Linked DNA regions of Alligator mississippiensis. The protein of the gene in region 3 purifies or fractionates together with the protein of the main gene of each other region. This does not show direct contact. Links are inferred from orthologs where the notes say so. Each region holds a gene or a part of one and is shown on either strand. Other genes may lie near its edges. The genes, in order: PAAF1, ECPAS, ADRM1 and PSMA7.

Evidence for each region.
Region 1: the proteins of ADRM1 (region 3) and PAAF1 purify together in Homo sapiens (affinity purification with mass spectrometry; 3 studies listed by BioGRID and IntAct, counting the BioPlex papers as one, with this or other methods). This does not show direct contact. The link is inferred for Alligator mississippiensis from reciprocal best matches to the Homo sapiens genes ADRM1 and PAAF1.
Region 2: the proteins of ADRM1 (region 3) and ECPAS purify together in Homo sapiens (affinity purification with mass spectrometry; 3 studies listed by BioGRID and IntAct, with this or other methods). This does not show direct contact. The link is inferred for Alligator mississippiensis from reciprocal best matches to the Homo sapiens genes ADRM1 and ECPAS.
Region 4: the proteins of ADRM1 (region 3) and PSMA7 fractionate together in Homo sapiens (co-fractionation; 3 studies listed by BioGRID, with this or other methods). This does not show direct contact. The link is inferred for Alligator mississippiensis from reciprocal best matches to the Homo sapiens genes ADRM1 and PSMA7.

The regions. Positions count from the first base shown.
Region 1 is NC_081824.1:466,976,599-466,984,131, reverse strand, and holds the start of PAAF1 (proteasomal ATPase-associated factor 1), read left to right. Parts: upstream 1-4,519; 5' UTR 4,520-4,545; coding exon 4,546-4,592; intron 4,593-4,681; coding exon 4,682-4,722; intron 4,723-7,533. Other genes in the region: uncharacterized protein LOC132248652, read right to left, coding at 2,630-3,158; cytochrome c oxidase assembly factor 4 homolog, mitochondrial, read right to left, coding at 4,012-4,260. UniProt on the Homo sapiens protein: Inhibits proteasome 26S assembly and proteolytic activity by impairing the association of the 19S regulatory complex with the 20S core.
Region 2 is NC_081826.1:165,611,785-165,619,215, forward strand, and holds the start of ECPAS (proteasome adapter and scaffold protein ECM29), read left to right. Parts: upstream 1-4,430; 5' UTR 4,431-4,479; coding exon 4,480-4,507; intron 4,508-7,431. UniProt on the Homo sapiens protein: Adapter/scaffolding protein that binds to the 26S proteasome, motor proteins and other compartment specific proteins. May couple the proteasome to different compartments including endosome, endoplasmic reticulum and centrosome.
Region 3 is NC_081832.1:5,777,690-5,785,116, forward strand, and holds the start of ADRM1 (proteasomal ubiquitin receptor ADRM1), read right to left. Parts: upstream 3,018-7,427; 5' UTR 2,953-3,017; coding exon 2,743-2,952; intron 2,560-2,742; coding exon 2,443-2,559; intron 2,358-2,442; coding exon 2,234-2,357; intron 1,894-2,233; coding exon 1,807-1,893; intron 1-1,806. UniProt on the Homo sapiens protein: Component of the 26S proteasome, a multiprotein complex involved in the ATP-dependent degradation of ubiquitinated proteins.
Region 4 is NC_081832.1:5,945,046-5,952,073, forward strand, and holds the start of PSMA7 (proteasome subunit alpha type-7), read left to right. Parts: upstream 1-4,011; 5' UTR 4,012-4,058; coding exon 4,059-4,154; intron 4,155-6,118; coding exon 6,119-6,245; intron 6,246-7,028. Other genes in the region: SS18L1 (calcium-responsive transactivator), read right to left, coding at 3,213-3,281.

The DNA.
Region 1 (7,533 bases), on a different chromosome or scaffold from region 3:
TTCTACTTAGCTGGTCTCTATCAGAGCTGGCTGCATCCCTTGGCTGGCTTAAACCCTCCCTGAGCTTCATTACACTTGCTCGGTCTCCAGGAGCTCCACCCCAGAGCTGGCTGCATCTCCATTCCAGGTAAGCCCCCTGCTATCCCCTATGTAGTGTTATACTCAGCCCTTTCTAAGCTGCTCCCCACCCCACAGCTTGTTGCATCTTCGCACCAAGTAACTCTCCCACTCTCCACAAAAACTACCCCTACTACTGCCCTATGTATGGGGGTGGAGCAACTCCCCCTGCAACCCCCACATCTGGGGCAGCTCCCAGCCCCCCATTCATGGCCACACACCAATAGGACCCCGGCAGCCCTGCAACCGGTGGGGTTGGGGGGTGGGGGAGCCCTGGGCCTCGTGGGCTGGTAGATGAGATGCAGCTGAGGGGCTGTGGTTCTGGGGGGCCATGTACAGCTCCAGCATGGGCCCTGGTTGGGGGCTACCAGGGACCGCCAGTCCTAGTACCAGGTCCAGGTGGGCATGGGGCAAGTCGGCCCCTGGTGCAGTTCAGCCACGTGCTGCCCCCGCCAGCACCGACCCCTTGGGCTCCAGCACCAGCTGCACCTCCTCTGGTGGATCTGGGAGGGCAAAGGGAGGGCAGAGGTCAGGGCCAGGCAAGGGGAGGGGCCTAGAGCAGGTGGGTGGGGCCTGGAGGGAGGAAGGTGCATGGGTTGGGTGAGAGCCTGAGCCTGGTACTGGAAGGGAGCAGGGCCTGAGGGTGATGGACAGGCAGCCACCTGCCAGGGTTGGCTGAGGGCCAGCACCTGCTGTTATGACTGACAGGCAGGCATCTGCCTGGGTTGGCTGGCTGCCTGTGCCCAATGCTACACAGGGGGGAACCAATGGTGATGGACAGCCCAGGAGCCCCGCCCCATCTGGCAGCTACTTGCAGAGCACATCCAGGTCCAGCAGGAGAGAGCAGGCAGCGCTGAAGGGGTTGCGGGCCTGACATACATAGGTACCAGTGTCCTTGGGATGCACTGGATTCAGGTCCAGCCGGCATCTATTCTGCCCTGGCAGGTCCTGCCCATCCTGGAACCAGCTGAAGTTGGCAGCCAGGGGCTTGGCCTGGCAGGAACAGAGCGGTGCCATGGGGTCCCTGGCATGGATGGGCAGTGCTGCCTACAGCTCAAGTGCCACAGCCTGGGGCACATCTGCAAGGGTGGGGGGTGGCAAGGGAGGGGACCCAGGTGTCTGGGCTCCCCCACAACACCACAGGGCACCTCAGCCCTCCCAGAGGTGGAGGGGACCCAGGCAGCCGGGCTCCCCACTCCCCCACACTGGATGCTGTTTCGCAAAGGGAGGCAGGGGGTATGGTCCAGTCACCTGGGTTGTGTGCGTGTGTCCCGAATGCTTGGGGGGGGACACGGGGGTGCATGCATGTATGTGCATGCGTGTGCTGACCCCCGACTCCGACCGCCCAGCTGCCCCCAGCCCTGGCCACCTGCACTCACACTGCGCAGAGAGGCAGAGTGGGGGGGAGGTGGCAATGCCTTGGGGACTCTGGGCCATGCAGTGGTAGGTGCCGATAGAGCCTCATGCCCAGGCCCGGAAGGCCAGCATGGGGCCATGCTCTCCCAGTGCTTTCCAGTTCTGGGACCAAAGGTACTGGTAGACACGGGGGTTGGCTTCACAGTCTGACCCTCCAGCACCGCTGGTCCTGGCGGCAGTGTCAGCGTCACGTTCCTCAGGGGATCTGCAGGGGCTGTTACACTTGGTTGCTGCCTGGATGTGCCAGCCCAGACCTGGGCACATCTGGGCCCCAGCACCCCAGGGCAGCCCCAGGCTGGGGGCAGTGGCCCCACTCCTTGCTGCTGGAGCTCTGCCCTCAGGCTGTAATTCCCTCCTGCCATGACCTAGCCCCACCCCCTAGTGCTCCCTCAGCTAGGAGACTGGTCTCACACCAGGCTCCGCCTCCTACCCCAGTGGCCCTGCCCCCTGGGCCACACCCTTCTTGAAACTCAGAGCCACACCCAGACCCCACCCCCAATGCCTCTGCCCTCCACCCCTTTGCAGCCATAACCCCACCCACTGGTTCCAGACCCCGCCCCCAGACATATGCCCCTCCCCCTGCTCCTTTAGCCCCACCCCAGTCTTCTATCCCTCCCCCAATACCAGCAACCCTGCCCCCTGTGTGATGCCCTGCCTCCTGCCCCAATGGCCCTGCCTCCTGCCCCAATGGCCCCGCCCCCACCCTTTAGCCACACCCCCATTGCCCCACCCCACTCACAGAGCACATGCAGCTCCAGGCGTGGGAGAGAGCCTGGCCGTGGCCCTCTCACTGGGGGGTGAAGTCTAGCCAGGCTGTGGTGTGGGCGCCCTCCAGGTCCAGCCAGGCCCAGGACTGGGTCTGTTCTCCCCCCAGGCCCTCCAAGCCCCCCAGGCCAGGCCTAGGGGCTGCAGGGGGCAGTGGTGGGGCAAGGAGCAGGTCAGGTGGGCCAGGACCCCCTCCTGCAGCAGCCATGGACCCTCCAGGCGGGCGGTGGAGAGGCCCATTGTGGGGGGGGGGGGAAGAGGTCAGGCCCACCTGGGTTCTCTCCCCCATGGTGGGAGGGGCTTGGGAGCCCAAACACCTGGATTTCCTCACCTGCCACCTGCACCTGGATCGTCTCCATCCACTGCTCATGCTGCTGCTTGTCCGTGGCCTTCAACGTCGACCCCTGGGGCTGGACAGCATGGATCCACACCCCATAGGTGCTGTTGTTGCCCAGCCTTACATTCTGAAGAAGTAGACTGCAGCTGCCCCAGAGGTTGCCCAGGAAGACCACTTCGGGTACTGCTGTGGCCCTGGCCCTAATCCAAGCCAGCTCTGTGCCACTGTAGCCCTTGGTCTTGGGGTCCCAGCGGGGCTCGTGATACCAGATGAGGGTGTGCACCTGGCCCAGGACCGGAGGAGGTTGGTACAGTGCCCAGCCCGGCTCGATCTCACCAGGGCGGGGAGAAATGCACCTCGGAACAGCAAGAAATAGAGGAGAGGCCACGTGGCGATGCCAGGGCAGGTGAAAGGCCTGGGGAGGGGAGACGAAAGCAGGATGTTGGCTGCTGTAGTCCCCCTGCTTTACCTGTGGCAGATTAGGGTGTTTTGCCTTGTGTTGTGTCAGGTTTGACGGTGTCATTTTGCTAACATTGGATTTGTATGGGATGGCTTGAATAGGGGTGACTAGATGACCTCTGGGGGGGTCCCTTCCAGACCTGCTTCTCTATGAAAGGGGACAAGCTAAGGGGGCAGCCCTGATGCTGGCTGGCTGGTACCCGAGCGCTTGTTTTTTTAAAGTTCATTTACGCACTTGCGCGTGCGTGTTGGAAATAAAACACGCAGCCCCCTTGAACTATCAGATTCAGGCCAGGCTGAGTTGACTCTGCTGCTCGTCCTTCATTCCACGCAGCCGCCTACGTGAAGCTTTTCAGAGCAGAGCTGAGACAGCAAAGCTACGTGCCCCCTTTCCCCACCAGCAGGATTGAGCAGGCCGTGACTCTCCAGCCTAGCAGCAACTAAGCGAGGGGAGTTTCCTTGGTACGTAGCCCAGGGTCCTTGCAGCTGACAGATGCTGCACGATGTCCTGGCAAATTCCCACCTGGAGCAATTTAGATAAATCCACGTGGCACCCAGTCTTTTTCCTACAAGACTTCCATAGCACACACGTGTTGAGCGGAGACCACGGCAATATTGCATGTGCAATGCTACATCACGCTCTTTGGCCCAAGAGAAGAACTTACATCAGGAGTGAATCCACATTTAATTTGTGCCCCCAAAATTAAATGCATTTTCACCCAGGATTCCCCACTAGAAAATATTCAGTGTCATTTCATCATCTCAGCTCCTGATTAGGGTGATCAGTCTGCACACACACAGGCCAAGGGGCAAAGCATTTGACCCCTCCTGGAGTCAGCAGCATGGTTCAGGTGTGCGAAAGGCTGATCAGATGTTGACGTTGGGTCTCTTGAGCATCAGGCTGCGGCCTCCTCTCATCAGTTCCTGGCCTGGGCCAACTGCTGCCGCCTCTGCAGCTCCTCCGCGCGCCGCTGCTGATGTTCCTTCATGCACGCCTTGAAGGTCTGCACCTGCGCCTGGCACTTCCTCCAGTCCTGGTGCTCCGCCATGCACTCCTGGACGGCGTAGTGCGAGGCAGCGCAGCCCGTGCGCGAGATCATTTGGTCCAAAGGGTCCTCCTCGTCCTCCGGCTTCTGCTTCCAGTTGTGACCTGGGGAGCCGGACATCTCGTGGATCTACAGCGTGGGGACCAGAACAACAACAAAACCCACAAGGACTGAGATCCACCATGAAGACACCACTCATGGATGGCCTTTTTTCAGCCCCACCACACCCAGGTCTTTACCTGCGCTCTTACACCGGCTGCCCCTTTAAGAGCGTGGCAGGACCCGGAAGAGGACGCGCGCTCTAATTGGCCGAGCCTCCTCCACCCGCTTCCGGGTCGGGGTGGGGGAAAGGGAATGCACTTCCGGGGCGGGGAAAAAAGAATACACTTCCGGGGCGGTGCAGCAATGGCGGCGACCGTGCGGGTGCAGAGCGACTGGCACCAGGTGCTGAGGTGGGAGCCGCCGTCGCCCCTAACCACCGTGACCCCCTCTCCCCTCCCCCCCACCGGTGCGTCACTAACGGCCGTTTCTGCCGTTGCAGGAGGAACGAGGGCGAGGCCTGGCTGAGCTGCAGGAGCCCGGGTGAGTGCGGGGCCGGCGGGCGAGGGGGGCTATCACTATACATATAGATATATAGGTGCATAGGTAGAGGTATATAGGTATAGGTATGGATATGTTAGCGGCATTTCATTTTACTCACGGAAAAATGTGGATTTTTGGGTTACTTTGATTTTAAAAACAAAAATCCCCATTTCTTAGATATCAACACGTAACCCCAAATCCACATTTTCCCATGAGTAAAAGGAAACCTCACTGTATCTATATCTCTATATATATGTTAGTGGCATTTTGGAAAAAAATGTGGATTTGGGGTTATTTTTTTATATCCAAGAATTGGGGATTTTTTTTTTATCAAAGCTACCCAAAGTCTACGTTTTTCCATGAGTAAAATGAAACGCCATAATATATAGATCTGTATGTTAGCGGCGTTTCATTTTAATAATGGAAAACAGAAGTCTTCCAAAATCCATGTTATATTCAAGAAGTGGGGATTTTTTTTTTTAAATCAAAATAACCCAAAATCTGCTTTGTTCCATGAGTAAAACGAAACCCCACTATATCTATATATCTGTACCTCTCTCTATATATTTGTATTTCTGTATGTTAGTGGCACTTCATTTTAATCATGGAAATAATACGGATTTTGGGTTCCCTTTTTTTATATACAAGAATTGGGGATTTTTTTTTTTTTTAAATCAAAGTAACTCAAAATCCACGTTTTTCCCATGATTTAAAATGAAAGGCCACAGTATAGGTAAGTGTTGCTTCATTTTAATCCTGGAAAAATGCAGAGTTTGGGTTACCTTTTTTGTAACTAAAAATTGAGGATTTTTTTTTATCAAAGTAACCTGAAAATCTACATTTTTTTTTTTTTCCAGGATTAAAATGAAACATCACAATATCTATATCTCTGTGTTAGTAGTGTTTCATTTTAATCATGGAAAAATATGGGTTTTGGGTTACTACTTTTATATCCAAGAATTATTTTGGGGATGGCCATATAAATATAAATTTATGGCCATATAATAGCGTGGTTGCGCATGTATAGAAACATGAACCCAAAGTGTATAAACATATAAATAATACCAATGGGGGGGGGACTTTTTTCTCTGATTTAAAAAAAAATAACAAACAAAAAAAACCCAGGAGCCCTGCTAATTACCTTGTGTAGAAGCAGGACGTTGGCGGCCGCGGCCCTGCTGTTCGCCCTGTGGCAGGGTCTGGTGCAGTGCCTGGGGCTGTGTCATTTTGAGCTTGGATGATGGGTTCGTGTGGGCTGGTTTGGGCAGGGCTGATGCTGCCTCAGGCAGGGGTTGGGCTGGGTGGGAGCTCCCCGTCCAGCTCCGCTGCTCTGTGATTCAGCCCTTCTTTCCTCTGTTGAAGAGTCCCTGCTGGACAGGGCCTCCAGAGGTCATGGCTAGTCCAACCCCCCCAGTCAGCCCTGTCCAACCCAGCCCAGAATAACCCTAATCTAAGCTCATAGCAAACTACAGTCAGCCTGACAGGCATCATGCCTCAGCCTGCATGTGATTGATTCAACAGCACCTCGTTGTCTGTTCTGCCTGCCTTCCTCACCTCTTGTCTGACCGGAAGTGCAGTATGCCCGGGTCATTGTCTGTAAAGTGAGGTGACTGGTTTGCTCAGGACATGCCCAGATTTCATAGGCTAGTCCCAGCCAGTTGGTGAAAATTGAAAGATTGCAGGGGCACAGAGCAGCCCTGCCTGCTTGTCTCCACCTGCAGCAGCACTGCTGACTTTGGGTGGAGGCAGTGTCATGCAGATCCTTAAAATAATATGGTCACTTTACTGTAAAGGGACCTGGAGTCCTAGGCAGGCATCTGTGCTCATTGGGGCCAGTGGAAACTTCCACTCTCTGGGCAATGCCCATTTGTGCCGGATATGGAGCCTCTTGGACTGTGGGCCAAATTCTGTGACTAAACGACCATTGTGAACCTCCCGCTTTCTGCTGAAAGTGCAGGTTGTGTGGCTTCATCCTGTCCTGAGTAACCAAAAGGCAGAGCAGCACATGAAACTGAAAATAACAGCCCTTAACAGTGCACGCAGATGGTAGTCGGAGAGAGGGTGAGCTGTGCACCAGAAGTTAGCTATGTCTCATAATGCACTGCTGGACGGTGCATAGATACTCTGGTGGTGACACTGATATAAGAGCTCCAATAGAACAGAGTACTTCCCCCTTCTTGGTACTTGTACCCTTCAAATGCACAAGCTGCTTTTAGGTATCCAGGTTATAGCCATACTGGTCTAGAGGAAAAAGCAATCAGGACTCGAGGTAGAAGTGATATCTTTTATTCAACCAACTGTATTTTTGCAAAAAAATTTCTTTAGTTTAATTAATATGCTTTTAGTATCTTTTTGCTACCTGCTGCCTCCACGCGCATTCTTCGTCATTCTTTCCTCCTTGCAAATCAATATCTTCTCATCCCATATTTGTGTTGTTTTTCTGTGAGCTCCCTCTGGTTCATCAGTATCTGACTATAAATATCTGTGAAACGGTACGTGTTGTTCTAGGTGTGATTGTACTACTCTTCCCTTCTGAGATATATTGGAGTTTGAAATTATTTCAGCCACCTTCTTCTAGTGTCGTACTCGACTCTTATTTGCAGTCCAGCTTTGCTTCTGTACATCTGAATGTTATGTGCTTCCCAGGTTTCTCTCTGTCTCTGTCTCTTATTTTTCCTCCTAAGCAGAGTACTGTGCTGTAAGTATTCCAGTCTTTCAATCTGCTAAGTGTATACATCAAAGAAAAACAGTTAAGTTCAGTCACAGTTATTCTTAAATTGGGTGGTCTGTCATATTTCTATTCCATTTCTA
Region 2 (7,431 bases), on a different chromosome or scaffold from region 3:
TCTCTCTCTCAAATTTTGATCTATAAATGCATGTAGCCCCTGCTGACAACTATGCTCCTTTTCTATACAGAAAATCTTGATTGGGATGAACTTGGTTTTCTACTTATCTGTGTCTTTGGGGAAATGTAAGACCTGCAGCAATTACTCTGACTCATGTTTCCCTCTGCAAGAAGAACCAACTAGTTAACCTGATTACCCTTTTTCCTAGTTTTGTGCATTTGATTCTTAGGATCTTATTAAGTTTCACTCTCCTGCTGTTTTTTTTCTATAGCCCCTACTGATAAATAAGTACCTTGATCTAACTGAATAGGACTGATCCTCTCAAAGTTGCTTCTTTGCACTCTGATCACTATGCAGTCACATAGGAAAACTTTCCTGTGAATGTTAGGAAGGGTTTAAACATTTTAATTTGACACGTGGGCTAAGGCAGGTCTAGAGCCCAGTCATACACTTCCAGTCTGCTTTTCTAATTTCTTCAAATTCTGCTCTGTCACAATTTGTTAAGCCTATGATGCCACAAGAGCAGGGGTGGGCAAAATACAGCCCACCAAGTGATTCTATCCAGCCCGCAGCGGGTCCCTTGGCCCTGCCTGGCCCAGGCTCAAGGGACAGCTTGGGCTGTGGTGCATGCAGCTGGTCCTGCTGCCCCTGGGTGTGGAGGTACCACCTACTGCAGAGCAAAGCCCACCCTATCCCCATGTGGGGCTCTTGGGCATGCCAGCATCTGTAGTCTGCAAGTCTGGATGGTGCAGGGGCAGTGTGGCAGCTGGGCTTGACTTCCTGGCATCCCCTGTGATGGTGGCTCCTTCTGGATACCATTGCCAGTGTCTCTGCCACCATCCCCAGACCTGGCCTTGCTGCCTGTGCACCCCAGCCCAACCACCCTGCACTCATTGCCAGGGGTGCTGGATGGAGTGGGCAGACAGGAGGGATTCTCCATGGAGACTGGCTTGGGACCCCTGCCAGCAGAGTGTGCTCTGCTGGGTTGATGGGAGGGGCCACAGTTGGGTGGTGAGTGGCATCCAGGAGCAGGACAGGCAGCTGGAGCCTCCAGGGCTGGGATCACGGGGTGGGCACAGTGTGGGACCAAGGCCCAGGGCAGAGCTGTGATCCTTTCCCCACATGTCCCTGTGATGGGCGCCAGTTCCATGGACAGCAACTGGTCTCTGCCCATGGGGTCCTGATCCAGTCTCCATGGAGACCCCACCCACCACTCCACCTGGTAGCCTTGGTGGTGGGTGCAGGGTAGGTGGGCCCTGATAGGATCAGTTGGCATCTGTTCATCATGCTGGGCAGTGTAAACAGCCTGTAAACAGGTGTAGACTGCTGTCAGCTTACCAAAACTCCTTAAGTGGTCCTCCAATCCATATAATTGCCCACCCCTGCACAGGAGAATCAAATATGATGTGCATGTATGTGTGGGTATGCCAGGAGATAACTGATGATCTGTGAAAAATAGTATGAAGCATGAGGAATTCCTTCAAGAGCCCCAGAAAAAAGGTGGTCTGCTATATCCAACCGTCAAACTAGCTAACATCCATTTAACTGAATTTCTGATCATTATGAAAGCAATAGAAAACTCTTTGTCTATGCCTTTTCAGTATTTCCTTTTCACTACTCTCTTCACAGCCTAAAAACTCTTGACCTTCCTTCTCCCTCCATTTCTTCTTACATCTCACTTAAATGCCACAAGGCCAGGTTTAAACCCTGAATAATCCATTGCATGTTAGGGTACAGAAATTTGTTACCTGGAAGATTTGAGACCGAAGATAACTCTTAATTTCAGGAGAACTGACAGCAGCATTCTCTCAAAGACAGACCATTTCCAGTAAACTGAAACCTAATTTTTATGAAGGAAATTATTTGTCACAGAAAACTCTGCCCATCAGTAGGAGCTGTGATGCTTTTTATCCACTGAAACAGTAGTCCCACCCTGGAGTGTGCTTCTCGCTTAGGCCTCTGATATACCTCGCTCCTCTTTCTTTGCTAGCAGGCAGTCTCTCTGGCTTTTTCCCAAGTCCACAAATTCTTTTAATAGGTGAACACAACCTAAGAGTTGAGTCCAACTTGTTCAACTCTTTCTAGCCCATTCTTTGATAGTTCTGATGTTAAGGGGGGGATGATGTGGTTTCTCTTCTTTGGTCTGTTCACATCTCTCTACAAAATCAAATAACTCACTGAGAGCCCTGGCATCTGACTTGTCCAGTCCTTTATCACCTTAAGGGTTGGTTTTTTTTATGGAAGAAATTGGGTTTACCTACCCTCACCAAATTCAACACTTGGCTTGTGGTTACAGCTTGAATGAGTGTAGCAAATATGTGGGAAACCTGGGGGTGGGGGACTGCTGGGCCTACACTCTCCTACCCCCACACTCATTCCTCCTGGTGCAGGATCTGTGTTTTGTGTTTCATCTGCTCCCATGTGGATTCTCAAAGCAAACTGCAAAGTCCTAACATGGGAAACCCATGACAAAGACACACACTGCAGGTATTCAGACTGGTTCATAATAGGGTCAATGGCAGGAGATCTCCAATCCACCTGCTTGTTAGTTAACAGAGGAAATAAATGCCATGTCTTATAAGATTATGACAAGAACCTTCAGTTGTTAGAAAAAGCTGACAAATGTGCACCGTGGGGTCTGCTGTAAATTATGCTACAGCACAAGAGACCGAATGTATCGCTCTCCTAGGAGCCACTTGTCAGCATAATCCTTAATGTAGCTCAGATTGGTAATGGGCATTGTGAGAAGCCCTGGAGGGCGGGGTGGTGTTTTTTTGTGGCTGATTCTTAATATCTCTGTAAAAATCACTTTACATGACAGAAAAGTTGAAATTAGGCAGCTTCAACTGTTTTGTAATGATCTGAACTTTCTTTTGTTCTGAAGCTACAGATGTGTTGAAGACTGATGGTTCCTTGAAGGATTCTCTTGGCACAGCTATGTGCAACACTTCTACTAGTAGCAGTCATTCAAGGGCCAAAGCAGCCCTACAGTGAAATGAGAGGGACAAGGATTTCTTAGGGCAATATCCTTTGTTGGACCAGCTAAGTTGTTGGGATAAACTTAGACAAGCTTTCCAATGTAAGACTGGTCTCATTCTCATGCAGGTGATACTGGAGGAAGAGTATCTCCCTTTCCAAAGCTTGCCTAACTTTATCCCAACGACCTAGTTGGTTCAATAGTAAGAAATCCTTGCCTGTCACACAATTTCTGGCCCATGATGACCGCAACATCACTCTTTGGCTGCCAAGGTTCTTTGGGTAAATGCAATATCTTTTATTAGACCAACTAAATAGTTGGAAAAATTGTTCTTTGCAAGCTTTTGGGCACCAACCCCCTTCTTCAGGCATAGGGAGGGTATCCTGGTGACACGTGTTCTCCATGGTGGAACAGAAGCCAATGTACAACACGCAGGTCTGGGGTTATCAGGTGGCAGGCAGGCTGCCTACACCAAAATATTTCTTCCTCAAAATCTCTTTAAGCTCCAGGAACTTAAGGCCTCTACCCGGGACCTCTCGCCATACTCATACGGACATTTTATAGAAGCAGGCGGTTGGCTGTCATGGTTCCCCCGCTTTACCTGTGGCAGGGTTGGGGGTGTTGGGCTGAGGGTAGTTTTATGCAGGGTGCAATGATGGGGCAGCATGGATAGGGATGCCCTATCCATCCCCTGGACCAGCCGTTCCCAATCTGTGGTACAGGTACCCCCAGTGGTACATAGACAACCTGTCAGTGGTACACGTTAACAGATCGACCACCATTGCTTTACGTGACAAAAATATGCTGGTGGTACTTAAGGTTGAGCTGAAAAACGTGCTGGTGGTCCTGTAGGTTGTACCATTTTAAATGGGTGGCCTGCAATTTGTCAGAGTTGGGGGGGTCACGTATGGGGCAGTTTGGCTGGAGATGAGCTGGCCTCAGGCAGGGCCCCTCTCCCTGACTGTACCTCGGAGATGTCCGAGGGGAAGGCGCCGGGCTGCAGCCGTGCTGCCCTGGTGTGGGCTGAGGTCTCCGCCACACCGGCCCGGGCCTGCTGAGCCCCGCCGCCGCCCTTGGCGGGCCCGGGCCCGGGGTGCCGCAGGCGGGCGGGGCGGGGGGCGGAGGGAGAGGAGCTCGCCTCCGCCAGCTGCACCTTCCTGCCGCAGACAGGGGCAAGGACTCCCGCCGCCGCCGCCCGCCCCGGCCCGGGCCGGCCTGGCCCTGCGAGCAGCGCCGCCGCATCCCCCGGCATGGAGGTCACAGTGGACTCAGGTTGGTGCCGGCCGGGCCCGGGCGGGGGAGCGGGAGGCGATGGCTCAGCTCTTTCTAAATATAAACCGAAAGCGAAGCGCGGGGGGAGGAGCGGCGGGGCCGGACCGGGCCGGGCCGAGCCGGGCAGGGCAGGGCCGGGCCGGGCCGGGCCGGCTGTGCAGCCGCGGGGCCGGGGGCGCCCGCCGGGGGAGACGCGCACGCACGCACACGCCTCCCGCTCCGCCGGCAACATGGCCGCGGCCGCCTCCGACGAGCTGAGTGAGTGGGGCGGTGGTGGCGGCGCGGGCCGGGCCGGGGCGGCGGGCGGGCGGGCGGAGGCCGTGCTGGGGCGGGGGGTCCCGCGGGCCGGGCCGGGCCGGGCCGGGTGCGCGCGGCGGGTCCGGGGCCTCCGCTGTGCACAGTCATGTCGGGCCGGGCCCGCGCACAGGCGGCGGGTGTCCCCTGCCCCGGCCAGGCCCACCTCAGGTGGCCGCGCCCTCTGCCCCCCGCCCCAGCTGGAGGCTCAGTTTTCCCATCTTGGGTATGGGTGTAATCCGCCCAGCGCTGGCACTGTCGCCCAGGCAGCCCCGCACCCGTCCCTGGGCAGGCCTGGTCCATTTGCGCCTGTGTAACCAGCCCTATGGTAGAAGAGGAAATCCTGGGGTGAGGAAAGTTGGGTATTTCCTGAGCTAATGATGCACTGCAAATTACGCCCCCCCCCCCCCCCCCCCAGCACCCTTGTGTGCAGATCCTGTGGCCACGCGGGGCCCTGGGCAGGATGAGGCCAGTAGGGAGAGGCTGAGTGACATGGCACAGGTCTGAGTTGTTGCCCACAGAGGGTATCTAGCACAGTGGCTTTTTATTTGTACAGGTTTCCCTCACCAGCCACGGTTTTGAGTATCCACGCTTCAGAGAAGGGGGGGTACAGTCTGAAAATACCCCCACAACTCCTGTAGTCCTGCTCATGCCTCTCACACTTCCCCTGTCCCCACAGCCTTGCTGGTGCCACTCACCCCCACCCACGGCCCCTGCTCCCCCAGCCCTGCTGGTTTTGCCAACCACAGTTTTGCCAGCCATGGGATCTTTCAAGAACCTACCCTCATGGTTGGCAAGGGAAACCTGTTTTTTTTATTTATTTTTTTTTTAAATAAACCTTCCAACTCTGCCACCAGTTCCGGTATGACAAAGGCTAGGCCTGCGTCTGTAGGAGGCTCCAGATTTAAAGGAGTGTTTTGTACCGTGCTCCTGCTTCTCGTGTCATGTAACAACCCTGTAAGAGGAAATGCGGACAGAAGACCAAGAACCCAGCTGGCAGCCTGGTGTTCCTGAACTCTGCCAGGGGATTGCTGGGCTGAACAAAGTGAGGGATTGGCATCGCCATAAGAAACTCTGTAAGAGGAAGAGCAGTTTTGACATATTTGCAGTCTACTGCCCTTGAGGATTAAACCGTGCTTTACTGCACAAGGAGTAATTTAGGCCCTCTGTCCCCTGCTCTCTTTGCTGGAGAGTACCCCTTTAGTGTGCTGAAATTCTGTTATCAAATGGATAAGGTGAGCGGAGTTTGGCACACCAAGATTTTGCTGTGTTTTCCTGATCTTGCCAAAGAACCAGAATCTCGAGGAGCAATGAGGATTGATTACCTTCAGGATTCACTGATCACCCTAAATCCCAGCCTGCTTATTCCATTGACAGTTGGTAGGAGTCATTTGTCATACTATAACACTGTCATGTTATAGTATAGAAAGATTGATCACAGACGCTTATCAAATCCCTCCTCTTTCCACTTTACAACTCTGATGTCTTCACTTATTCATTTAGTTGAGATTCTTGGTATAATAATTCCTGTTCATGGACACGTTTCTTTTTCCACGTTATGGAGTGTCTCGTCTTCCTAGCCTCCAATTTGAACTTGGGTGTTGGGTTTTTTTTCACTCCAGTGTCCTGTGGCTATTATCACTGGATTGCTGGTCACATGTAAGTTAAATCAGAGCTTGGAAGGAGGACAGGAAGAATATCTAGTAGGTGAGACTCTGGTTTAGCAATCCGATGTTGCACTAATTGAAGATCTCAGGCAATCTAAATCATTGCTAAGAGAATTAGTTATCTGTAAGCTGTACCGAAAGAAAACATACAGTATGGACTTCAGAATTTGAGGGATTTTGTTGGAAGTATGCATATGGTTTCTGTGTGTGTTGTGGAGAGAGAGGACAGAGATTTTTTCTAATATCTCATTTTTCAAGAATGGAAAGGTTGGAGTGTCAAAGGTGAGCTTTATCAGAAGCATAAGAAATTCAGAATGCAGGGAATCTCCCCAGTTTTTTCTTCGATTCAGAAGTATGCGTGTTTATAAAATAGTCTAGTTGCAGTGTTGTTGAAAAGAACCTGATCTTTGGGAGAGTGCGAACTCCTGAGGGAGCAATGATTATTTCCTTTTAGATTAGAAAGCCAGTTTGTTCCTGTTTGTGGGTGCTTGGCTACAATAAACTTTGTAGCTGCTTTTTTTTATGAGGAAAAACACACTTGGTTAAACTTTTATAAGGATACTTGCATTTAGTAGATGAATAATTAAAACTAGTCATATCTTAAAACATTATGTAAAATCAACAAATAGGGTTTGGAACTGTAAGCAGTGAGATGCAAAATAGGGGAAAGCCATTTTTGGAGAGAGACTAAACTTGACACTGCTCACTGAAATTCAAACTTTTATTGTTCATATCTTTGCCTGAAATGAAGGAACATGGTGATAAAAGGAAAATTGCTTGTTCATGGTAAAATATTACTTTTGTAAACTTGATGAGTGACTTGGACAGGTATGTTTCTTGAAGATATTTGCCTGACTCACCCAGTGAGTGAGTAGCACCAACAAATCTTGACTCCCAGTCTGCTGCTATAACTATTCTAGATGTGCTCCCACCCCATGTCTAAGGCCATACCTGCAAGATTTTGCCTCATTTTAACTAGGGGTACACTGATACAGATTTTTCTGGCTAATACCAATAGCTGATTATTAACCAGCCATATTGTCCGATACCAATCCAATAGCTGATTTACAGGAATGCAAGCCTGACGACAGCTTGGAGAGCAGTGTCTGGCTGTTAAATCTGTGGGAGGGAAGGGGCATGCAGGGAGGCAGATTGAGGACCCCACAGTGATGGAGGGAATGAGGCAGCGGGAGATGCTGTCCAGCCAGGGCAGTGAATGCA
Region 3 (7,427 bases):
GTCCTACTAGCCAAGAGCAGGTATGCAACAGCAAAAAAGCAGCTCGAGAGTCAAGCACCTGATACACAGCACAAACGAGAGCAGAGTGTGGTGCCTGAGTAAGGTGCTTCCGGGACTACACTGAGCAGGAAATGCCACAGGGAACCAATGCATGACAACAGGAAGTGGGAATGTGTGAACTATGCAAAGACTCCTCCACCCATACTACTATTCACTACTACAGCTTTAAACAACAGGTTTGGACAGATGGATTACTTAAACTGAGTCAAAAGGGGAGAAACATACCAAACACTCACTGTCCCTTCCCCCTGGGTAATCTACACCTCCACTTGATGTAGGAAGGGAATCTTACTGGGGCTGGCACACAGCATTCACCTCACCTCTTTAACTCGGTACAATTCCTTCAACCTAGGAACATACTACAACCTAGGAGGTGGGTTAAGAAAGCTTAACTTCCAGCCCCCACTCCAGGTGCCAGTTTTCAGTGACTTCCCTGGGATTCTGCTCCTGTACCACATGCTGCCCAAATGCTCCATCAGCACATGTGCCCCTTGAGGTGGCTCCTAATACCAAGTCCAACTGCTGTGGACATTTCCAGCACCTGTATTCTGATGCTCAGCCTTTAGAAAGTAGTTACAACCTAGATGCCACAAGAACAGTGCTCCATCAGCGTATGCACAAAGGGCTGGAACTACCGAATAGCATGGGAGAGGTCAGAGGAAGTAGAGCCACTTATTCCTCTACTGTGCAGAATGCACCCAGCAGTAATAGACCATGCCCTATACCTCCCCTGGTCCCTGATCACACTGATCCCACAGCAACAAAGTAAAACTAACAAGGCCAGCACCACTTTTCACTACACTGGGACCACCTCAGCTGGGCAGTTCAGGTAAGGGTGGCAGTGAAGAAGTACCCCGAGGGAGATGTGCAAACCAGATACGAGAGCACAAAATCCCACACTTCAGGCTGGCAGTCCTTATGCTAGCAGGGGCTGAGAGCCATGCCAAAACCAGATGCTCACCACCTGCAGAAGCCCCTTGCCTCTCCCCGCAGGAAGTTAATTAGCACATCAGGCCCTGACACTGAGGGACACGAGCACCGTGCTTCAACCCAAGCTATTCTACACTAAAAACAAAGGCCAGGGAAAGAAGAGACCAATGTCAAATAAGGAACCAATGTAAGAAATAAGGAATCTCAGAGATCTCCTCTGGGCCCTCAGAGAAGATGCCAAAGTCACCTCTAACCTCGCATAACTCAAGGGACTCAACTGCTCACCAGGGTTTAAACTCCATCCTTGACAGAAGAGGATTCAAACCTACATCGCTGGCCTGCCAGGAGAGAGGGCCCTATTCAGGCCCTAAACTATTCTGGGCCAAACACGCTCTCAATCCCTCCCGTTCAAATGCTTCCATCTTGCATTAATAATTCAGTGTTCAGTCAGAGAAAAAGTGTGCCACAGCCAGGGGATCGGGGCATACGCCTGGGAGGGGGAAGCTGGGCTCTGCTGAACGCTTACAGGACACAATTAGTGAAACAGTCAGTGGGGCAAGGACCAGAAACAAAGCTCCCTTGTGCATCGATCCCCAGGGAAGCACGTGCCGAGCACAGCTCGCGGCTGCTTCGTTTCTCGTCTCCTCGTCCTGTTTCTGAGGCAGCGACAGCATCGGGACCTTGCCGCCTCGCACAAGGGAAGTGCTATTCAAAGTCACGCGAAAATATTCAGCGTCAGGTAAGACGTAACCCAGCAGGAGAAAGCACCACATCGGCGTAAAGATACGAAAGCGTAAAGATACGAAAGCTTTTTACCAAGTCCTCCTAAGCCCGTTGGTCCGATCAGCTGCATGAGCTGGTTATGGCTCATGTTTCCCAGAAGGCTTTGCAAGCCACCCTCACCTAAAAACAAAAACAGCCTGAAACAATGTATTCACACAGTTTTCACAGCCCCCCCCCACTCGCTCCAACAGCTGGAGGTTAACCGGCATCATTTCGCATGGGGAAAAAACAGCGTTTTGCAAGCGTTTGCTAATTCAAGACGCTCGTAAGAGACGAACGCCGCTTGGTTTCGGAGGCGGGACTCCGGACGTCGTCCCGCAAGCGAGCGGGGCGGCAGCACGTCCAGCGGCGCTCGCGTCTCCCCCCCCTCCAAACTCGCCAGGGGTTTGCTCTTAGAAAGCTGCGAGTTTGTACTTAAAAATAAACCTTCCCAACCCGAGGGGCGGAGAACGGGCCTTACCCCCCAGCGCCGAGAGCTCGTGGCCCCCGCTCGCGTTGCCGCCCAGCGCCCCGGGCATGGGGGGGTTGTTCAGGTACTCGTTCACTTTGCGGCAGTGCTCTTCGTCTTTGTCCGTCTTCGGCTCCTGGAAGAAAGGGAAGGGGTCGTCGAGACAGGCCCGGCCCCCCCCCCTCCCCCGCCCCGATCGTGGCCGGCGCCGCCGCGCAAACCTGCATCCAGAAGAAGAGCCGCTTGGAGCCCGCCTTGAACTTGAGCACGTAGACGCGGCCGGTCGTGCACTGCGGGACCCGCTTGAACTCGCAGTCGTCAGGGAAAATAATCAAGTCCTGCAAAAGCATTTGGGGGGGGAGGGGGGGGTAACTAAATGTTGGTGTGCCCACAAACAATTGTCCCGGGGGGGTAAGACCCGCCCCTATTTGTGCCCCCCGTGGCAGCCCCGCCCCGTTTGAGGCTTATTCGGGCCTGTTTTGTCACTTTATTGATTTATTTCCCCCCCCCCGGGCGCCCACGTCTTCGACGCTGCCGGAGGTGCGGTCCTTCCAGCAGAAGTGGATGAGGGAGTCGTCGGTCTGCTGGATGTAGACGAGGCCTTTCCGCTTGTCCGGGGTGACGGTGCTGCCCTTCAACGACATCTTCCCCGCGCGGAACTCCACCAGGTACTTGCTGGACGAGCCGCGGGAGCCCGGCACCAGGCTGGGGAACAGCGCGCCCGACGACATGTTGCGGGGAGCCGCCCGGCACCTTCACCTCAGAGCTGGCGGCTGCGCTGCTCTTCCGGCTCCCGCACCGGAAGCCCGCCCTCGCCGCCGCCCTGTTGGACGCGCCCCGCGCGGCTCGGCCCCCCATTGGTTCGCGGCGCTGCCACTCGAGGCGAGGCCGGCCCGGCATGCCCCGCGCCGCGGCGTTTGGGGCCATTGTGCTGTGTCATACGGGCCGAACCACGCGCGGGGGGAGTGGGGTAGCGGCCTCTAGCTAATGGAATTGCCCATTGTCCCCATGGAGGAAGGGAGCAGCCCATTCTCCCCATGGAGGAAGGGGCAGCGGCCTCTAGCTAATGGAACGGCCCATTCTCCCCGTGGAGAGGGGGAGCGGCCTCTAGCGGCGCCAGGTGGAACTGCTACCCCAGGACCTGGCCCTGCAGGGCTGCAGCATGGCCTGGGGCCCAGCACAGACCAGTTTCCAAATCCCTACTGGTGCTACAGCCACATCTCCAGTGGAAACCCAGGCTCTGGGGGTGGAAAACACCCAGGGGAGAAGAGCATCTGTAAGCAACACCCATAGCACGGAGGGAAAACAGGCCCTCCCACCCAGGATCAGGCCCTTCACGCCCTAGGAGCATGCGGTGGGACCTGGAACATGCCCTGTCCTCACTTATCAAGTGCTGGAAAGCAAACAGGGGTCTGCAACTGGAGTGGCACGAGCAGATACCACCTTCATCACAACCCCATTGGTGGTAGGAAGGGCATAGACGACCACTTGCTTGGCTTTTGTGCGGCCATAAAAGAAAAGTAGGGCAGCACAAAGGCAACATCCATTTCCACCCTCAGATTCGCTCCTCTCCGCCTTGGTGAAGTGCTGCCACTGGGATGCCCTGCTTGGAGTTTGACCCTCGCCCTCAAATCCGAGCGCTCAATACCCTCTGCTGTAACGTCCACACTTACGTTTTGCACTTACAGCGTTCATAAACGGACACCTTGCTTCAACTTTCTGACGTCAGTTTCGACTTCACAACTCTTGATGCGATGCGACACGGCGCCAGGGAACAACTTCGCTGCATCGCCCGTCTCCCTGGAGAACATCTGTCCAAACCTCCTTGGATGTTTTCTTTAACAAAGCAGACGAGACTCCAGAAAACCTGCAGCCAAGAGCCCTTCAAAAAGTCCAGCAAAGTCACCAAAGTCCTTCCAAATCGATATGATTGCTATTTACAATATAAATACATTAATGTAGCTATATGACTCATCTATAATTGATCCGAGTACAAAATTCTGGGGTATTTTTGGTGAAAATTGGTTCCTGAACCAAGGCCCAATATCCTCTCTCCCATTTATAACATTGTTTCTTATGAGAAAGTTGGTTCTGAATTATATTTTGACTTAAGAGGCAGAGGATTGCCTGTGTGGTTTTAGACCACTAGCATGGGCAATGCGGGCAGCAGCAAGGGGCACCCCCAGCACAAGGCTCCTTAAAGTGCCTGTGCACACTTAAAGTGCATGTGTGGTTTTAGACTCAAATTCCTCTACAGCAGCGGTTCTCAGCCTTTTGCACCTTACGTCCCACCAACCATTTTGTCAAAAAACCCTGGTCCCACTATGATAAGAACAAAACCCCACTTTTCCCCCGAGAAGTGTATTTTTTATGTTTACATGCCTTTTAGTATCATATTAATCACTGAGCAATGCGTTGAAGTCCCACCTACATGATCTCCGCGTCCCGCTGGTTGAGAAACGCTGCTCTACACAACCACCAAAGCTATTTGTTGCAAGGACCCAGCTTTCCTTATTTATGTGCACAGGGCCTGCATACCGTTGGGCTCCGAGTGGGTGCTAGAAGCACCATCACAATATATCAGAGATACCCACAGTGTCCAAGTCCTGTACACAACTCACAACACACTTCAGTCCCACTCGTCTCCCCACTGCTTCAGCTTCTATTCAAACAGCTAACGCACACAGGATAAAAAGATGTTTTATACGCAAAGCTTGACAACAGAACAAAGCCATGAGATCCTTGCGTAATCTTCACCCCAAATGGACACTTACCAAGGAAGGTACTGCCGTGCAGTCAGCGATGCCTAGCGCTACCTGCTTACAGCCAGTACTGGGAACAGAAAGGCGATGGGCCAGCAGGTATTTTCCCCTCTATAACAGAAATGCAGAATCGCAACATGGGCGTGAGGAAGGTCTCAGTGGGGCAAAGCAGTCCAACACCCTTCAAGGCAGAGATGCTAAAGTCTAAGGAAGAGGGAGGAATGGCTCCTGTTAGTGGGCATACGTGGGGAAGAGTTAGTGGGCATATGCGGTAAGAATCTCACAAGCCGATCTCCTTCCCCTCTCCTTATCAAAAGGTCCAAATACTTAACCCTTCCCTCAGAGCATTTTGCCATAAGGAGGTACTCCAAAAGGCTGCACTTTCACAAAGCTGAAGACATTAAGCAAAACAGATCAAGTCAAAAAAAAATCTGAATAACAATTGTAAGTTTAAAGGTATTTTTGTGATGCGGTACCGATTTTGAAATTACAAAAAGTAGGTTTCTTTCATTAAAAATTGATCTTGGTTAATTGAGAGGTGAAAGCGGCAATTAAAATACATAATAAAGTAGGGAGCGGAAGGGAGAAAATGATTGCACTTCATAATTATTAACGCAGTCATTGCTGCCAACATTCCCAAAAATATATCTGTGGGCAGTCAGGCAACAAGAAATTTTCTTAACCTATGAGGAACAAGAAACGCTAGCATTAGTAGACAGGAATGGTAACATCGTCAGTTATGATCTGGAAAGGAGCAGCTTACAGCAATGAAACATTTTAGTGCTTCTCCAAATTACTCTTGAAATACTAACCAGCCTTACATATTTTTTTTTGGTACAATACAGCAAAAATTAAAGACAAAACATGACTTTCCTACAGGCTGCTTAACCTAACATGGATCACAGAATCCTGGAAAGCCTAATCAGGGATGCAAAGGACAGAAGCATAATTTATGCAAATCATAGTTTTATTGAAACTTTTTAAAAATACCAGCTTTAGCTTGTGAAAGTAAGTGCGACACTAGATGGCTGTAGGTATTCAGTTTGCCACTGCATGATGTTTCAATTGGAAGTCTGCATTATACAAGATCAACACTGCACATATTAGAACTGAATTAAAATCTGATTTACTAAGAAAGGTCCTTTGTTCTCCTGGAAGAAAACTTTGCAGAGAGGGTGAAGAAAAAAAAAAAAAGTAATGCCAAGCATTTTATGTCTTGTTCAAAATGACTTTTATTCAGATTTACAGTTTAACATTTATGTCCACAAACCTGTACAGACTTCTCTAAAAAGCTAAATATGACTTTGTTAATATAGATGGGTATTGACAGTTATTAAATATTATAAAAATAAATCCATTTCACTAAAGCATTTTTATCATCTGACATTTTCATGCAACATGAATAAGGAAAACACAGTGTGTGTAAATAATTAACAGGAATACAGCAATTGAGTAAGGCAAAAGAAAAGCAGCTTCATAGAAGTGTAAATCAGAGTGGACTGGAATTCTGGGTATGAGCAATTTAATCTTTTACATGCTATAAAAACATACCAAAAATCATTTTTTCTGTATTAGAACCGTTAGCTTTACATAAATTTAAATATTGCTTTATTGTACAACTGACCCAAACCACAGGTGTTTTCAGAGAGGCAAAATTACAGTGTATTACCAAATTATGTAGTGTTTAGTCCATATCCTAAACAAACAGGTATGCTTATTTCTAACGTACAGATACATTGATTACAGTGAACAAAAGTAAACAGGAGAGAAATGAGAACTACATTTAGGAGAGAATATAATCAGGCATATGTATTGCGCAAATGGTTACAAACCATTTTCTCACAGGGTCTATTATCATTAGCAATGTGATGTCTTTTGTAACATTCTAGTTTTAGAAAAGACCTCTGGGGAAAAAAAAAAAAAATCAGAAAACTTCTTGAAGCAGGAGAAAATTTCTCTCTCTCTCTCAAACAAAAAACCCTGCCTTTTAATTTACTGAGAATTTTAATTTTTAAGGGGTTTTAAACACTTAACTAATCAGGGATATATTTTCTCTCCTTCAGTCATCTTGGGAACCAAAAATCACAGCGTCCAGTAACCCAAAAAGTTGTCACCAATCTATAGTACCACAAATCTTTCAAATGATGAGTCCAGTGCCCATGCAGCAACTACGAAAGCATATTTTACCCTTCTTTTGAAATGTTACCAAAAGTTGATTTATACTTTAAAATAAGAGAATGCCACTCATTCCTGTCCCTAACTTAGTCCATCTTTTGTTATACAACCATGTAACTTCCATTGTGGGAGGGATACACTTTCAACGGGTAACAGACAGACCCAAATACTTTCATTCAAAAACTGCTTTTGCCCTGTTTGTGTTTCAAAAATATGTTTAAACTATTCAATCATCCCTCCGTAGATACTTTCTTCCTACAGTACCATGT
Region 4 (7,028 bases), about 170 kb from region 3:
TTTGAATACGCAGCATCTTCAGGAAAGGGAAAACATTTTCTTGAAATACGTTTCATCTCATCTAGGTATCTAGTTGTTCATGCAGTTGCTTGCTTTCTTTAAGGAATGATGCAGAAGGATTCTTAACAAATTTAAAAACAAAGACCAAACCATGGAAAAAATTAGCAGCAGCAGCATCACGTAGTCCCATATTTTGGTCAACAGCAAATGGACAAGCAGAATCCAGATTTCTGGCTTCTACAGACTGTACAAACAGGGGCATGTCATCACCAGGCCAGGGGGCATACTGCTGATCACAACTCCTGACAGCACGCATCTCTGCAACACCTGTCAAGGGGATCTGAGGAATGGAGCATCTCTTGTGTCCTACCAAGACAGGCCAGCAGCAAGGCCTCCCTGCCGACGATGGGAAGAGTCAGAATTGTGGCAGGCGAGATTCATGCGTCTCCTGTATGGTTTGGGCATGGTGTCCGGATGCATGGCATCTGGGAAATAACCTCTGAAATCAAAATATTCCCAACAAAGCTCTGATTTCATTTGACTCACTGTTTGTGTCGAACCTACGATGATGTAGATGGAGATATTCTGTGGAAAGTCTAATACAATTCTCTGCAACTGAGTGGAGAGGATCATTTTTCCTGAAAAACTGTAATCATCTTAGGACCCTCAAAATATTTTCCAATATTAATGAACAGCTCAGCTGCTGGCATCCTCATGTCTAGTAAGACGGTTTAAGGATCAAACGTCACCTCTGGATGTGTATTCAGTGCTGACAATCCAAGCAACACAACTGTTTGTTGCAAAAAGACCAGAGAATAACTGTAGTATAACACTGCTAAAAAGAAGTAGGCTCTAATCTGTCAGAGAAGTAAATCGAAGGTTAATATTAATGCCCATTGCTGTTCCATGAGCTACAGTCAATCTGCAATCCTACAGTCTTTCACTTTCCTCACATGAAGTTTTGTATAAGGATTATAGTTAGCTTCGGAAGGATAAAGGCTTGAAAGGAGCTTTTGAAAGCAAGTCAGTAGCATGCATCATAAAAACTAGCTGCTTGTGTATTCAAACATGAGCCGAAAACAAGCATCTTTGTGAAAAATATCTTTTACTATAAAGTCTGACTTCTGATGAACGCACACTGTTGCAATTTCCTGCCCCAAAATTAGATTCCGCCCTGCCCCCCATATATGACGGCAAAGTCAAGTTAATTTTTTTATGCATTTGTTTTCAGATAAAAGCGTCAGTGCTTTTCAAAAAAGACCATCACTGCCAAGAATCAAGAACTCAAGGAGCAAGCCTAATGTAGAAAGCATGGAGTGTACTTGTCAGAGGAAAAGATTTTTATATATTTCCAAGAAACAGACTGCAGCCCCAAACTATTACTAGGTTTATCACGGACAGGAGGGAAAGTGCGTGGACAATTAAGAGATTACGACTGTCCTTTACACTGAAACCTTGAAAATGAACTTAAAAGACTAACCTACACAGGATGTGAAATTCTGCCTTAAACCCACAAAAATCCAGATAAAGGATAAAGCTGCACCTTTTGCCACTGCTGTCTAAATATTTTAGCCTCTGAAATGAAGTGGGTCTGATGACAACGTCTCACATGCTCCAAGAATTAGGCAAAATGGAACGAGTTTCCAAATGCTCTCCTGGCATTTAGAGATGCGAGATTCTAACATCTCTCTCGGGGTACTTTGTTCTGCCTTCATTTTCCTGAATCTTGACCTCGTCCTCCAGCAAAACGCATTGCCCCAGAATTCACAGCCTGGCACTAGATGCTAGCTGGACTGCAGGAAATCCTCCTAAACAGCTGATTGCTGAGAGCTGACACCTTTTTTTGTTCGCCATTATCCTTTACAAATGGACTACATCAGACCTTCATCCCTTCCCGCACAACGCAACCCCCCCCGCACATCGCAATAGGGCAAACACAGAGCACGCAGGCTGGAGCTGGGCATGACAGGCATTGTTCAGCAAAACCAATCGACAGCACAGACACGCTCTTTATTGACACCTCCACACCTCTTCCGTTATCCCCGGGGACGGCAGCAGGGCCTGGGAGGGGCTCCTTCCCCCCTGCCCATCACCCTCGCGCGTCTTCTCCTACAAAAGCATCCCCCGAACTTCCCAAGTGGGTCCCCTCAGCACCCGCTTCTGTAGGGAAGCCCAGCAGGGACCGAGCCCGATGAGAAAGCCCCTCGAAACCTCTGCCCTTTGGCGTTAAGCCACGACGAGTGCAACCGCACATGACAATAATAATAATAATAATGCTGATAATGATACTAATGATAATACAAATAACAATACTAATAATAATGCTGATGATGATACTAATACAAATAACAATACTAATAATAATGCTGATGATGCTGATACTAATACTAATAATGCCAATGCTACTAACAATGCTGATAATGCCAATACTAATAATAATGGCAATACCAATAATGCTGATAATACCAATACTAACAATAACACTGATACTAGCACTAACAACACTGATACTACTACTAATACTAATAATGCACTAATACTAATGCTAATAAAGCCAATACTAATAGTAACGCTGATAATACCAATAGTAATAGTAATGCTGATGATACTAATACTAGTAATAACGCCAATACTATTAATAATGCTAATGATACTAAACCAATACTAATGCTGACAATACTAATACTAGTAGCAGTAATAATAACAATGCATTATTATTACTACTACTAGTAATATAATAACAATGTATTATTATTACTACTAATACTAGTAATATAATAATAATAATAATACTTGTAATATAATAGAAATAATACTAGTAATAATAATGTCAATACCAATAATAATGCTAGTGATACTAATACTAGTAATAACACTAATACTAATGATACTAAGCCAATGCTAACAATGCCAATACTGATACTATTAATACTAATACTACTAATAATGCTAATAACGCTGATAATACTAATAATGCCAACACTAATAGTAACAGTGACGATCATGCCAGCACTACTGCTAATAACGCGAATACCCCCGGTAATAACGCTATGCTCACACGGATGGTGACCGTACCGCAGGACCGTGGTGGTGACGGCGGCGGCGCTCACCCCCCCGCCGTGCCCGGGTGAATAATGGATGAAGCCCCCATCCCCCACCCCCGGCTGTGACCCCCTCCCCCCCGGGCCGTGAGGCGATGCCCCCCCCCTCACCTTCTGGATGGTTTGCTGCGTGACCTCGCCCTTGGCCCTGGGCCGGGCGGAGGCGAAGGCGACCGACATGCCGGCGGGGGCGGGGGCGGGGGGGGGCGGGTCCCTGGCACGGCCCCGGCCCCGCGCTCACGGTTGCGATCGGCGCCGCCGCCGCGCCGGGCTGTCCGCAGTGCGCGGGGGTGGCCGGCGCACATGGTACATCCCACGCCCCGCCCCGCGGCCCCCCGCGCCGGCCCCGCCCCCCGCGCCCCTCTGCCACAGCCCCGCGCGCCGGGGGGGCCCAGCGGCTCGGGTCCGGGGGGGGGGCGGGGGCGGTGCCCACCGCAGAGCCCCTCCCCCGCTCCCCCCCACGCCGCTGCACATGGTGCGTCCCGCGCCCCGGCTTCCTGGCGCAGGCGAGCAGCGGCAGCCAGGTGCGCCAAGTGCGTAGGGAAGGCGGCATGTACGCCAAGTGCGTGGAGTGCAGCGTGAAGCCGGAGGGGGGAGGGAAATCATGCCCGCTCCTACGCAAAGTGCGTGGGATAACTTCACCTTGATAACTACGTCAATGGCGTAGGCAAAGAACGCGTGTACGCCAAGAGCGGAGAGGAAATCCTCCACCTTGATAAACCCGGCGGCTACGTTAAACGGGGGGGTGGGAGACACGCAGGTATGTACGCCAAGTGCGTAAGGTAGAACATGAAGGGGGGTGGGGAAACGCAGCGCCTACGCAGTTGGCGCACAGGAAGCAGAAGGCGTAGGCCAGGCGCGTGACAGCGGAAGGGCCGCCGGAAGGGGCGGGGCGGTCCGCCGGAAGGGGCGGGGCGGGCGGTGAGTGTGCGGATTTGAGGCAGCGCCGGGGCCGCCATGAGCTACGACCGCGCCATCACCGTCTTCTCTCCCGACGGCCACCTCTTCCAGGTCGAGTACGCGCAGGAGGCCGTCAAGAAGGGCTCCACCGCGGTGAGTGTGCCGCCGGGCCTGTCCTGACCTGGCCTCACGGGACCCGCCGGGGGGAGGGCCCGAGCAGCGCGGGGGGCGCCGCCTGCACTTGCGCGACACGCGTGCAAAAACATAGACTTTTTTTTTTGTTGTTGAAAAATCGAGTTGGTGTGATGAGAAACAAGTCCTGATCCCTCTGGCGTGCGTGTGAATGTGTGTGGGTGTACATGTACGTGTGTACACTCACAGCCACGTACGCACACTCTGTATACAGACACACCTGCCTACATACATGTGTGCACACTGGCCTCTTGCTCTTTCTCTCTCTCTCTCTCTCCACATATATGTGCACATACTGTCCTCAAATGCACGCATGCACGTATACACACCCGCGTGGTGCGAGGTCATGCAGCAAAGGCACGTGTGCAAATACCTTCCTACACGCGTGTAGAGAGATGGAGATGTATATAAGATGAATACAGACCCACATGCATCTCCATATGTATCTATAGAGCTATATGTAAGTAGGTATGTCTGTATAGGGTGTGTATATCAATACTCATACATGCGTATAGACAGATATATGTGCCTACACACGCGCGCACACACACACATCATGCTGACTTACCTACTTACATAGAGATCTACAGATATATAAAGTAAATACACATTCACATGTAGATCTATAGATAGATACAGAGATGCATGTAAGAAGGTATGTCTGCATAGGGTGTGTGTGTAGATATGGGAATGTATGAGTATTTATACACACACCCTATGCAGACATACCTACTTACATACAGCTCTATAGATAGATATAGAGATGCACGTGGGTCTGTATTTGTTTATTTTTTTACGTACATGATCTAGGCTCGGGGTAGTCTGTGAGGTGCAGACTTACTCCATCTTCTCACTTGACTTGGACTAGCTACATCTCCCAGCCAGGAAGGAGCTCGCTTCGGCAGTTTGGTTGTGGAAAACTTGAACCAGTTTGTTGCCGCGGGAGGTGGTGAAGCCAAGAGCGTGGCCAGGTTCAGAAACGAGTGGGTCACTTCATGGATGATGGATCCGTTCATGGCTGGTGAACAGAAGGGTTGGAGATGTTTCCCCTCTCATCCCTGTACAATAACGGGGGATGCCCGGGAGGGTGCTGAATAGGGGATGGATTGGATCGCATTAGAGAAACCTGGTTTTGTGCGCTCTCTGTGTAGCGTATACTTGGCTGCTGTTGGAGACAGACTGCTGGGGTGACTGGACCGCGGGTCCGACCCAACGTGGCGCTTCTTGTCTTAAGAAACCCAGTGTCAGTCCCTTCTCTTCCTGGCGAAGGAGAGGTAGAAGCACATAGAATAACCTAAGAGTTGGAATATAGAGCAGATCTGTTTGAGGACCATTCAATTTAAGCTTTGTTGTTTAGTCTGTGATTCAGTCTTAGCTTGTGATGAGCCTTGACATACCTAACGGACTTCTCTTTAGGTCTAATTGGATTTAGCAGCTGATCAGTTGCAGCCAGGGTTCGAATTACACTGACTCTTGGGGAGGGGGTCTCCAAAAACGAATTGGGCTGCCCATCACGATGCCCTAATGTAATTGGAGACCCCCCGTGCTATGATTTTCAAATCTTACAAGAGTGCTGTCATCTCTTATGAGGGGCTCAGCACCCCCTGAGCTCCCCTGTATTTCAAACCCTGGTTATAGTTGTAACTGAAGCTCCAAAAGTGATTTTAAGAACCAAATATAGAGATGCCTTCTTGGAAGGACTAACAGGTGTATAAAAAGAACCATTCAGACTTGTCCCATTATATGGGCTAATTTTTGTTCTCTTACATCAGTTATTTTTCAGCTTGATGTCCAGTACAACGATGAGGCAAATTATTTGATGCTTCTCATTGTATTATTACTTTTTTTGTTGTTTAAAAAAAAAACAAACATTCTTATTGGACTTGGGAATGTTGTAACTGCTTTGGGTTTTGAATTCATTGAAGGTTGGAGTAAGAGGAAAAGAGATCGTAGTTCTTGGTGTGGAAAAGAAATCTGTTGCAAAGCTTCAGGATGAACGAACTGTGCGGAAGATCTGTGCCCTCGATGAAAATGTCTGCATGGCTTTTGCAGGTATGTGATGTTGGCTAATTGGACTGTTAACTGCTGGTCGCCAGGCTAGGAACAAGTTTAAACAAGGTAGTTATTGGAGCATTACTGTATTAGGTAGGTTTATGAACTATGAAAGCAAAGTTCTTTGGATAATTGCAGGTGGGAAATGGGAGGAGTATGTATATGCCCTGATGGTTGCTTATTTCCTTGTAGTAAGAATTGTGGTTCCATAGGGTTGTTTTTGGGGTAATCGAATACGAGAAAATGTCTTGAACTAGTGACATCCACTGAGGATAGAAATGTATTTTAATTTCCCTTTTGGAAGAGGGGTGAATTACTCCTGTGAGGAAGGAATAGAAATACAGATCAGAATGACTTTTTCTTAGATAAAATGGTGATAATCTGTAGTAGCAGGAGTTTGGGGAGGTTAAGTGAACCTGTTCCATTTGAATCTTCCCCAAAAGCTAAATTTTGAAAGCTCAAGGTTTTAAAAATCACACGCAACAAAAAATGGATTCTCTCATTCCAGTGAAAAGGTTAACTTGGTAAGCAAGCCTCGTAGCAGAAAGAACTCGAAAGTGAAACCAACTCCCATTGTTCAAGCTGTAAGATTTCAGAAGAGCAAGCAGAAGTAATGACAAACGGGATTAAAAATGTGTACTAAACACTGCCGTACTAGAAGTAATTTACAATCCATCTGAGCAGGCTACAGTAGTAGTCTTTAGATTTAGTCAAATGTGACATTCTTGCAAACTGATATGCATAGTTTCTAATTTTACACACTCACTCTGACGACTAGAATAG